Saccharomyces cerevisiae S288C: one gene and its partners. The main gene of each other region encodes a partner of the protein of the gene in region 4 in a complex. Each region holds a gene or a part of one and is shown on either strand. Other genes may lie near its edges. The genes, in order: SPC19, DAD4, ASK1 and DAM1.

Region 1 (2,823 bases), on a different chromosome or scaffold from region 4:
CTTTGCATAGAACTACGAAATCTAATTAAGGTGACTAAAAAACCTTGGTGCGAGATTGATAGTAAAACTGGCAGGTCATTTTGCGACCAAATAAGAAATCAAGTGACAAATGAAAGAAACAAAACTTTATCTAAGATCCTCTCAGAAAACGGTGTACAAGTCCAGGATTCCACATTACTTAACCACATAATTTCTTCTTTTCAAAGTGAAGCTATAACACTTCCAGAAGCTCAGGAATTATTAAGAAGGGGCGTTACTTTCGATAATAGGGTAGTCATGGAATGTGAAAAGTTAATAGTATCTACAAGTGATCCAACTTTGATCAGTATAAGCGCCAAATTGAACAGTCTCAAAGCTTCGATGGCGAACCATCAAGCAAATTTGGTAGCTAGCAAACAGTTAAGTACATATAAGTAATCTACTAGCGATAACATTAACAATAATTTATAATACAAACTGGATAAAGAGATAAATGGATGCTTTAAAAAATAAACTTCTAACTATTTCTGTTTGAGTATTTCCAACTTATTCTCCAGTTGCTTCTTCTTTTCCTTTAGTTTCTTCAATTCTTCCAATTCCTCATTAGTAGAAGATGCCATCATAACCACGTCGTCCGCGTCTCTGCCTTCGTATTCTTGACCCATGTCTGGACTATTCAGAGCATCATCGTCATCCATACTAATGTTCTTCTTTAGCCTTAAATCGTTTAATTCATAAGTTTGCTGCAAAGTATCGAGTTCCCTTTGCATTCTACCCATAGATTTACGTAACTTATCGCCCAGAGTCCTAACCAGCGGTTCTACCTCTTCAATCAAATCTAATTTTGATCTTTCAACATCATATTCGGGAACTAAACGGAAAACCCTTTTGGTTTGCAACATTGTCGATGCAAGGTTCGTGCTTGGCTCATTTGCACATTTTAAAGACTCCACAGAATCCTTCAATACTGAAACTGTTCCCTCCAACGCAAGGACGCTCTGTTCCAAAGCATCTGTCATGGTTATTTTGCCTATCCTTCAATTCGTACACAGATATATGCGTCTGTGATCTGTTTATTATTCATTTTCATTGTTGCTAACTACTACGCCCTGTGAAAACAAACTTTATAATCGCCAATAATAAATACATAATGAAAGTAAATCGCAATCCGGACCCCACGGATAGTCACCAGTCTCACCAACTGGAAATTAGAAGGAAGGAAGACAACTGTAAATTCTTGGCATGGTAGAACTGGAAAAAAGAAGACGGCCCCCTCCGCAACTGCAACATTCTCCCTATGTTAGGGATCAATCGAATTCGCAGGGAATGACAAAGACGCCAGAAACGTCACCGCCTAAGAGGCCCATGGGAAGAGCTAGATCAAACTCGAGAAGCAGTGGATCCCGTTCAAATGTCGATATAGATCAGTATACCATACCACCAGGCTTAGATTTGTTGCCTACCGCTTCATCTCCACCTTCCGTCCATCAAGTTTCACAACAGCAACAATTATCCCCAATATTAGCCAACAAAATCCGTTCTCCATTTGAAAATCAAAGTCAGGATCAAAATGACAATTCAATAGACCCAACACCGGCTGGACAAGTAACAATTCCTGTAGAAGCCGTATCTCCACCGGCACTGGACGAATTATCGAAATTCCAAAATGGTTCAACTGAGACATTATTTAGAACTGGATCACCCCGTAAGAAGCATACACATATTATTATACTCAAATCCTTAAATGCAACTTTTGAGACCAAGTTTCTTGTTGTACCATTTAAACCTGACGGACTTAAATTAGGTCGACCAGTTACCAATAGCGTAAACAAGAATAATTCAGGATCGAAAAGAGATTTATTTTCGCAACAAGTTAGACCAGATAACGGAAATTTTGACTCAAGAGTTCTTTCCAGAAATCACGCTTGTCTCAGTTGTGATCCTACATCAGGAAAGATATATATTCGCGATCTAAAGTCCAGCAATGGGACATTTGTTAATGGGGTTAAAATACGCCAAAATGATGTAGAATTAAAAGTTGGTGATACTGTGGATTTGGGAACTGATATTGACTCAAAGTTTGAACATAGAAAAATCAGTGCGTATGTGGAAGAGATTTCAGTAATTCCCTTAATGAACACTGTATCTGATCCCACAAATTTGGTGATGAAAAAACAAGATCATACTAATAAGAATAATGGGAACTCCACTAATATAAACGGAATAAAGATAGACAGAGGTCATCATAATCAACACATTCCAATACGATCTCATTTAAAGGAAAATTATACCGAAGCTGGTGTAACATCTGCAACAACGGCTCAAAGGGCAGCCTTTGAGGCAGCTATGTTTGGAGATATTAATAACTCAGAATTAGATGATGATATTTTAGGTCCAGAAACTGAGGTTCTCAGTGGAATTTTTATCAACAATTCAGCAGGTACAAGCATAAATTTGATAAATATGATAAAAACTTTGACTACTGAGCTGTCCTTAGAAAAACAAGAGCTGGAAAAATTACATTCCATGCAAAACTTTATGCAAAACTATACGATAAACCTTGATTTCATCAATAAGCACATGATTGATATGAATGAAAAGCATTTACTGAAACTGAGCACGGCTTTACAAAAAACTCTATCAGAAAATAATGATGCGCTACTCAAAGAATCGGAAGATCAATTAAAAGAAATCAAACAACAAAATAATAAAGTAAAATCTGCATGTAGCTTGAAGGAAAAACAAAACCATGAAAAGCTACAGGAGCTCGAAAGTGAATTAAGAGAGCTGAACCTTCAAATAGAAGAAGAGAGGGGAAAAAATTTAGTTTTAACACAAAGCAAT
Region 2 (2,564 bases), on a different chromosome or scaffold from region 4:
ACCAGATTTCGAAAAAAGTAATATTTATTCTTTAAAAATGCGGTGACCAGCGGGCGATGATAATCAAATATTTAAAAATGATATAATGATAAAACTTGAATTATTTTTATAGGAAAAGTGGAACCAAAAGATTTTCTAATGCACTGATATCATGAGCAGTTAATGAAAAATTATTAATATTATTTTTTTTATATTTTTATTCAAAAATAACATTCAAAATTTAATTTTAATAAACTCATTTAAAAAAAACCTCTAAAAACATGAAGATAGAACTATAATAACGGCTTCAGTATTCAAGACAAAGCCATGTGCAGGTGAAACGATAGAAAAGTGACATAGCCGAGACAATCTAAATGAAGAATTCCTGTACTCATCTCAGACTAGCATTAACAGGGACTTGCATAATTATATCTCTATCTCTGTGTCTATGTATATATATATATATATCGACACAAATGCAAAAAATTACAAAATTTTCACCCACCATAGACGCCAGTGAAAACATGTTTAATTTCTTCCAACGTGTAGTTACCTGCCAAACATAATTGTAACAAGATTCTGCTCTTTTCAGGGCTTAGATAACCAGATGCGATGAGATTATCCTCCTTTGAACCTTTCTTTGGTACGTTGGCAATAGGCACCATACCATCCATCGATCTCTTGGAATATACGATCGGCAAACTCAATTTCATGCAGGTTTCATTGACCTCCTCCGGCAATGAACCAGCACCCATGGTAGCAAGAACAATACCATCATACTTATCTGCCACTAAGTTGACTATAGCTGGCGGAAAGGCTTGGTGAGCATATAAAATGCAAACCTCTGGTAATTTAAAATGCTTACCGTCCACTCTCAGTTTGAATTTGTGGCAACCTTGCGGTTTCACAGGAGGATAATAGTAGTGAATTTCATTGTTGACAAAATTTCCTAAATAGCCTTGTCTAACATTAAAAGAATCCAAACTATTTGCATTCGTCTTAGTAATGTAGTAACCAGAGGAAATTTGGTCATTCAAGGAAACAAGAACACCTCTTCCTCTAGATTTTGGATTTGAAGCAATGCAAATTGCTTGGTAAAGGTTCATAGGGCCATCAGCAGAAACGCTGGTTGAAGGACGCATCGAACCAACAAAAACAATAGGAACGTCGCCAGCATCAATAGTACTTTCAATAAAGAATGCAGTTTCAGATAGCGTATCAGTCCCATGGGTAATAACTATACCGTCAAAAGCCTGCAACGATTCTGAGACGCCCTTATAAATTTTATAAAGAATATCCTCGTTTATGTCTTTAGAATCCACGTTGCATAGTTGCTCATATTCAATGTCACAGACCTTGGATATATCTGGAATGGCATCCAATAGATCTTGGATGGTCAGGTCAACATGATAGCCGGCAGTTTGAGAGGAGTCTATAGCTTTCGATGCAATAGTACCACCGGTACCCAAGATTTTGATTCTTGGTAAGCTACGTTGTTGGCAAGCGATGCCGCTGCCATTCACAGCGGCATTTTGAGACTTTAGAATCTCTGGAATAGTCTCTGGACAGTTGCTTTGCACAACAAACTGAGAATTTTCAACATCTGGGCAGATGGTAGTGATTTCAACTGAATCGCTTTTCATGATACGCTTCCAAAAGTGCGATGAGAGTGCTGTTATCCTCCACTGTCTTCAAACACATTTCTTCAACAAAGTCATCGTCATCATCTTTTTTTTTTTTTTTTCATCGAGTATTTTTTCACACGAACGGCACAAGTAGCCTTCAACTGTAATAAACAAAAGCAGATAGGGAGGAAAAGAAGTGAGTTTAGGAAAGAAAGCATAACATGGAGAACCCTCATGAACAAGTGCAGGCTAACATACTTTCGCGAATAATTGGTAATGTCAAAAGGCTCAATGAGAGCGTGGCAATTCTTAACCAGGAGCTTGTGACCATTAATAATCGGAACAAAAATCTAGAAATCATGGGCGCAATTTGTGATAACTACCATAGTAGCGTCCAATTCAACCTGGAAGCGACCAATAACAAGAAGCCACCTCTTTAATTCACCAATTTTCTATATACGCATACTCATATACACATATATATATGCTATACCGTTTCTAATATATTCATTTAAGATCACTGTTTCCTGCGAAAAGGAGAAAAAAATAACAGCACATCGCTTAACCTATTCCTGTGCTTCTGGAAAGGACGCAGCCTGCAAGAAACAGTCAACATCAATGTCAGATCCATTTGCACATTTACTGACTTCTTTGAAGAATAAGGACTCTGCATCTGCATCCAAGGAAACAACTCCTCAGAGCAGCAATTCGCCTTCCATTACTGGTTCCGCTGTTGCAGATGTTGCAAGGACGGATAAAAGCCCCAATGATAGTCTGCATTCAATTTCAGCTCCTCCGCTGATACCGTCACCGAAGGTAGATTTTTCTGCACCTCCTTTGGTCCCAACTAATAGCACCACTAAATCTAATACTGCCAACAACACACCTCCCTCGGCTCTTGCCAATACCGATGACGACTTCAATCAACTATTTGGTATGGGCACAGTAACTACAACGGAT
Region 3 (3,142 bases), on a different chromosome or scaffold from region 4:
TATACGGATCACTATACATTATTATAAGTCGATATTGCAGTATTAGTATTTACATGTTGAATAATGCACATTCTGTGCTAAAATATATACTTCATTTGTCAACTTCTTTTAGTTTGCCGCCATTTTCAAACGGCGCCTCCTCCCTAGCTTCGTCTAGAGCAGGCTTAATACCTTGTTTGACGAGAGCTGCGTTGACACATGTAGTATAAGCGTACCATTGTTTTGAGCACTCGTTCTCAACGGATTTTCCCTTCAGGAATTTTTCGCTATACCATTCATTAAAACAACTATCGTATTTCGTCTTCAGGTCAGTGCATTCAGGCGCAAAACTAGCTGACATTATATTCCCCATATAAAACTGGTATTATTGTTATTGTAATTCAAGTTAAAACACAAACAGATGTTTTCTAATGACCTCTCCCGGCATATATCTGGCGCACTTAGAATAAATTTCTACATGCAAATACTCTGAATATTCTGAATGTGGCTCTCCCTATATCGAAGAAAAAATATAGCGGGCCCATTACCCTGCGTTCTGATATTCATCACTAGTAAAAATTGTATGTACTTATTTATTCTATCTATTCGTAGAAAAATGAATGATGGTCCCAGGCTTTGGTACTTCTTTCGTACTCTCTTCTTCATCGGGCCCTTCGTTGTTATCATCCGCTTGTCCCTTCGGGTGGTGGTGCCCCTGCTTCAGAGGCGAGCTCTCTATATTATTGCTGTTCTCATCGTCGTTATCGCCGTCGTTATTAATATGTTCTTCATGAGCCAGTTGCTTCCGCATTTTATTGGGCACAATCGGAGACGGTACCATGCTGGAACTAGACCCGTACTGCTGCTGCAAAAGTAGCGAAATCTTTCTTTTGCGGCTTTGTCTCTGTATTGTACTTTCATCTTGCTCATCATCAGCTCCACCATGACCCTCGCCTGTAAGGTCTGTTTGCTCCCTTGAAGGCACCGCCTCTGAACCAGTATCTTCGTCGCTAGAGTCCGGAAGTTTCAATATCTGTCCCGTGGATGTTATATTCGCTGTGTGGAAATCATCTATACTGTCGTTATTAAACATAGAATGGACATCCCGGTTGACATGTACAGCTGAATCTGCCTCGTTAGGCCCATTGTCTGTCTGGGACTGCCTACTCGCCTCTTCAGCGGATGTAGGAAATATACCAACATTATTGCTCACAAGGCTTTTGACTGGAGCGTTTCCCACTGGTGCAGCTGCATTTGCCTGCAAATTCACCAGCCCAGTCTCTTGAAACATAGTCCCCAGCCATTCGGTGCTATCCATGATCCGCTCACATATTTCTGAATATGTAGCCACGTGTGGGATGATGTCCTGGGTGATCTTATGAAAGCAGAAACTCAAGTTAGAGTCTATCTTCTGCAGGTTCACTGTAATTTCTTGATCAAGTTTTTCCAATGTTTCCTCTTTGCTTGCAGAATCCATTTTTTGTGTCAACAATCCCTTATGTTGCTCTTTCCATACGTTGATCAACCTGGCTCTATTCCCACCCCAAACTGTAGATATCTATTTTGTTGATGCCTCAGCTCACCAAAACAAACCAAAAAAACGGAAAAAAAAAACGGAAAAGAACGGAAACAAACGGAAAAGAACGGAAAAGAAAACAGGAAAAACTCGCTGTTCTGTTACCCGCGCGGCACTACCGCATTTAATCGGAGTAGCTACTAATCAAGCAAGGGCCTCCGTTCCTCTATGACGCACCGGACATATCGCATTTCCACTATAATAGTGCAAGTAGGACGGGATAAGGCCCAAGATTATCAATGAAGACTAACACAACGGTCTTGCCAGCCATATCCAACTCTAAACATCTTCCACGGCTGTTCAAAAACGAAGATCTCTTACCCCTCTGCGGCTTAAGGGCTCTGTTCAATTGAAGGATCCGCGGCAGTAAAGTAAATGGATGAAAAAAAAAAACTGGAAAAATAGCAACTTTTTTCAGCCTGGAAGATTTGTCATCTAAGCGAAGGAGAATGAAACCGGAATTTTCACTCCTTCTTAGGGGCATTCAGTTTATAAATATAGTTATTCCCTGAAGTTGAGATTTACTGATTTAACATCTGGACAACTAAAAACCTAAATAATAAGACACAATTTTTTGCGGGATTTTTTTTCCTTTAGATACTTTTAACATTCATAGTAAAAAGTTCTGCTACATAGTAAAAACACATAGAAGGTACAAGCAATAGCATGATTCAATTTAAAAGTCCAGGTAACTGGCTGTTCATAGTACCCTGGATTGCCTTCATTCCATGGTATGGTATGCTGATAGCCATGCTTATTTGCTGGGCCAGTCAAGGCCATCCCATATATTGGTTCATGCACTCGGAGCAATTCCCTGTGTACATTTCAGATATAGGTGCCACTAATTTAAGGCCACTGTTTATATCGTGCGCCGGCTGGCAGGGTCTAGGCTATGTAATCACTGTTGCCCTTGAGTTTTTTCAAAGATCCGGCTATCTGCCTTTCCAACTGAAAAAAAAAGACCCTTCTATCTCTGATTCCACATCTTATGCTGAGAAATTGCACAGCGGTAAATACTTAATGCCTCCATATTACACAAAGGATGAACGGAACCTGATTTTCGCAGCTTTTGTTCTCGGCAGCATTGGTGAACTAGCCCTTTTATTCAGTTCCATCTTCTCAACCGCCCTGTACCATCGCGTTCACATTGCTATGGTCTCTGTTTTCGTCGTCTTCATGTTCCTATCCACTTGCTGCTTGATTGCAGAGTATTTCCTCATGGGAAGGCACTATGCCTCAGTCCACCCCCTAGCCAGCCCTCATTTCAATCCTCAATCATCTGAAAAAAGCTTTAACCAAGATTATAACACTGTGGATGAGCTGCCTTGGTATAAATGGAAAGGCCATGTATGGAATAAATTTACCATCAGTGCAACTCTAAAAGTTATATGGTTAACTCTCGCAGTTGTATGGGCCATTTGTTTTGGTGCTATCAATGATAGATCTAAGAGTGCTTGTTTCGAATGGTTGCTAGCATTTTGGTTTGGTATCATATTTATGATTCTTTCCGCCGACTTTTATTTAGGTGGAAGATACAGACAATCCCGCTATTTCAACCACGTGGAATCATTTTCGGGTTATTACAAG
Region 4 (3,402 bases):
CTCCCGTCTCTTCCATAAAAGGCAAATTCTATGTAAAGATTCTAGGCAATTAATGACCTGTTCGCTTGGGTTATTCTTCAAAGCACAAATCAATATCTTTCTTCCTCCTTTTGCTTTAACCGTTGTCCAGTTTCTTGTCAATTTGGTTTGCCATACATAACGAAAAAAAAATGACAGTTATAGAAAATATTACCCGAATTTTCCCGCACTTTTATTGAAGACGTTATATAAAGGGGTACTAACTAATTTAAAAATCATTCATGACTCGCATAGTGGCACAGTAATAGCCTCGACCGCCTGTCCGTATCTTCTTTTATATAGATATATCATGTTTCGTTGTAATGCGGGTTGTGCCCATGCACTGCTGATATGTGTACTGCCTTCCTCCCTATTGCTATAAAGAATCAGTCAGCTCATCAAATATTCTTCTTATCCATAACTCACGCATGCTAGCGATATATTTTGTGAGGAGGATAATTCTTTGGTTGGGTTGGGCGTAGTCATCTGAAGGGGGGCCTTGTATTTATTTTTTTTTCAGTTTTCTTTGCAACAGAATGTCTGCTTTCTGTGGGTTTCCTTTCAGCACGTCCTGAGAACATTGAATTTCTGTTCTTCGTAACGGGCCCATTGACCACTCTTGCAGCACCACTTCCGAGTGATATTCGATTATTTGGATGCAGATCTCCCAAATTAACAACATTGTCGTTTTCGATGGGTAAATCAGCGCCGGAAGCAATGCTATTTCTGATTGTATGTAAGATGGACTTTCTTCTCAGTTTACTGTTGGTATTATTATTCAAACGCGTGGTTTTAGTCACGTGACCTTGAGATGATTTGGACATACCGATATTTGTTGGATTTAGAACAAAAGAAGCTTCACTACTAGTATCGTCTTCATAGTCCTCCTCATTCTCTACTTGTAAGTTGTTGCCTATCTTGGAGGGCTTCCTCTTGTCTCTGTTGTCATATGACCTGTATTTTCTTACTTGTGAGGAGGGAAATAGCGGCTGGTTAAACTGTTTGTTCTGAGATGCCTTGGCCAAATCATTTTCACCTTGTTCGTCTTTTTTTCTTTTAATCCCGCGTTCCATATTGGAGAGTTCCATTACTAAGTTATTTTTCTCATCTTCCAACGATTTCAATTGTTTAATAGCGATCAAATCGTCTTGAATATCATGAGGCGCCTGTGAGAATTCTACGCACCATGAATTGCTCATAATACCGTACAACAACGAACCTAGGGATTCATTAAGATCAGCTAAACTCTCGTGGATAAAATTTAAGCGCGTGAAATTGGAATCTAAAGTAATGATTGAATCGCTCAGTTCTCTTATTTTAGGCAACAGAAGCTGTTGTATGGTATTCTCGTTATATTCGCCAACGGAACTCGTTAATCCCTCTTGATCAGCAAATTTCATCAGGGATGAGGATTCACCCATAGACGACCTTCTTGAAGTCGGAGCGCTACCAATGGATAAACGATATTCCGTGGCAGACCTTGTGGTCCCTAATTTAGCTTTATCTTCGCTCATAGGTGAAAGTGGCAATACAAGCCTTTTCTGATATTGTTTTGGTGCAATTGCTGAGCTTATACGCTCCAAGTTTCAGTGCAATTGGACAAGTTTAACGCCAAAGGATTCATGCGTCGATAAAACATGTTTGTTTTGGCTATTATTTATCGATATTGTCCGGGCAACGCGCAATGTTCATATCTTGAGCGGCACATAAGGTATATGGATAAAAAGGTGTTAGTTATGTACAAGTTTAAATTATGTAAATGTGCCATATCCGAATCATTGTAGTTGCAAAACTAATGTGGAAAACCGTTTAGGCAGTGCTCGTGAAATTACGCGCTTCTTGGATAGAGTTCGATAGTATGGGCAGAGGAGTTTGCCGTTTACATATATTTCCTTGAATGCTTCAGTTTCTCTTTCATTAGTTGGTCTTGGGACACAACGCCCCCTCTTTTCGCCTTCCTAAGAGCCACAATGAGGAAGATTGTGCTCAAAAACGAAAGGCCATACCACGTTACCAAATATTGTAGATGGTTATTCTTTAAATCAATAGTGGGCTTCCGGCCTATGGGAACACCTGCTTTGATAAACTGTCGTTCATCGAATTCAATTGTTTGGTCTGTCGGCATTTCCTGCCTAGAACGAGGCTTCGATGTATTATTATCAACAGCTTGCGTTCCGTTTACAGCAGTCGTAGGTTCTCGTTTCCAGAACTTCCACAGGCTAGAGGTGGAATTGTTTTGTGAAGCCTCGTTTCTTGTGTGTTCCTCGATTATTGGATGGTCCTTCATGTCATACAAGGCTTGAAATTGAATGGGCGTGCACCCTGATGATCTTGCCATGTCATATATGTCTGGCACCTGCCACAATCTAGAATTTGGATCCTTTTTCGCCCATTGTAGCGAGCCTCTTTTCTTTGGAGGTCTTACTAAGCAAACCACTTTCAAGTGTTCTTCTTGAGGCAACGACAAATGGTGTAAATTTCTTGAGTCAGGAGCAACTTTTTCTTCACTTATCCACCCTCTTTCTATCAGAACTTTCTCACCGGTGTCATCTCTAATGAACGGTGTAAACAGAAAATAACCCTTTTCTCCATTTTTCTTTCTTGGACCAACAAACATCTCTTCATTGTGAAGGAAGTGTCCGGTAAGTATAACTTTACGGTATTCCCAATCCTCGCACATGTCAGGTGTAAATGACTTAGGAAGTGGTATTGGTTCATAAGTAAGTTTAGTTTCGCATGCCGCAATCAGCTTGGTTTTCCACTTCAATCTCCTTACTTGCCAAGTTCCCAAATAGAAGGATATTATTGGCATCGCGAACATCAGACCCAGAACAATTTTCTTGCCAAAGGATCTTTCTCTTCGAGAATCATCATTTGGGCTCTTACCTGTCTTGATTGGTTTCCAGTCTACAGTTGACGTTATGATGCCTCGGTACTGTTGATTTCTTGAAGCTAAGAGGTACGTGGATTTGCCAATAGCATTCTTAGTCGGAATTGATGCAGCGATTGAAAACCAACGGTAAGTGGACCTGGCGCCTAGTAGAGACATTGCTTTCCTCTTTTATTAAATCCTGAGTATGGGTTACTGAATGCAAAACGGTTAAGATGGCCCTCTGTTTTCAGTAGTCGGCGTTATAGGTGAAAAATATTTCATCATTGCATAAGAATCCCTTAAATATACTCGGCTACATCAATGCGAGCTACAAAGAAAACTGAAAGGAAAAATGACACATACGTTCAGAAGTACTTTTAGAGAAGAGCACAGAAGAGGTTCAATCTATTACCGTATGTATTAGTATATGTGAATTTTAACAGTAAATAATGATATGTAGTTTGAAACCTTGACTTTTCCTGTATAAGCAACACAATATTTGACTTAAAACC

Evidence for each region.
Region 1: DAM1 (region 4) and SPC19 share a complex: the UniProt entries of both Saccharomyces cerevisiae proteins name them as parts of the DASH complex.
Region 2: DAM1 (region 4) and DAD4 share a complex: the UniProt entries of both Saccharomyces cerevisiae proteins name them as parts of the DASH complex.
Region 3: DAM1 (region 4) and ASK1 share a complex: the UniProt entries of both Saccharomyces cerevisiae proteins name them as parts of the DASH complex.

What each region holds. Positions count from the first base shown.
Region 1 is NC_001136.10:854,492-857,314, reverse strand, and holds SPC19 (Spc19p), read right to left. Parts: upstream 999-2,823; coding exon 501-998; downstream 1-500. Other genes in the region: RAV2 (Rav2p), read left to right, coding at 1-417; VPS64 (Vps64p), read left to right, coding at 1,222-2,823. UniProt on the Saccharomyces cerevisiae protein: Component of the DASH complex that connects microtubules with kinetochores and couples microtubule depolymerisation to chromosome movement; it is involved in retrieving kinetochores to the spindle poles before their re-orientation on the spindle in early mitosis and allows microtubule depolymerization to pull chromosomes apart and resist detachment during anaphase.
Region 2 is NC_001136.10:1,107,760-1,110,323, reverse strand, and holds DAD4 (Dad4p), read left to right. Parts: upstream 1-1,825; coding exon 1,826-2,044; downstream 2,045-2,564. Other genes in the region: asparaginase ASP1, read right to left, coding at 477-1,622; auxilin-like protein SWA2, read left to right, coding at 2,223-2,564. UniProt on the Saccharomyces cerevisiae protein: Component of the DASH complex that connects microtubules with kinetochores and couples microtubule depolymerisation to chromosome movement; it is involved in retrieving kinetochores to the spindle poles before their re-orientation on the spindle in early mitosis and allows microtubule depolymerization to pull chromosomes apart and resist detachment during anaphase.
Region 3 is NC_001143.9:339,091-342,232, forward strand, and holds ASK1 (Ask1p), read right to left. Parts: upstream 1,457-3,142; coding exon 578-1,456; downstream 1-577. Other genes in the region: MDM35 (Mdm35p), read right to left, coding at 92-352; SFK1 (Sfk1p), read left to right, coding at 2,222-3,142. UniProt on the Saccharomyces cerevisiae protein: Component of the DASH complex that connects microtubules with kinetochores and couples microtubule depolymerisation to chromosome movement; it is involved in retrieving kinetochores to the spindle poles before their re-orientation on the spindle in early mitosis and allows microtubule depolymerization to pull chromosomes apart and resist detachment during anaphase.
Region 4 is NC_001139.9:717,023-720,424, reverse strand, and holds DAM1 (Dam1p), read right to left. Parts: upstream 1,533-3,402; coding exon 501-1,532; downstream 1-500. Other genes in the region: chromatin-remodeling histone chaperone SPT6, read right to left, coding at 1-16; cytochrome oxidase assembly protein SHY1, read right to left, coding at 1,898-3,067; YGR111W (uncharacterized protein), read right to left, coding at 3,395-3,402. UniProt on the Saccharomyces cerevisiae protein: Component of the DASH complex that connects microtubules with kinetochores and couples microtubule depolymerisation to chromosome movement; it is involved in retrieving kinetochores to the spindle poles before their re-orientation on the spindle in early mitosis and allows microtubule depolymerization to pull chromosomes apart and resist detachment during anaphase.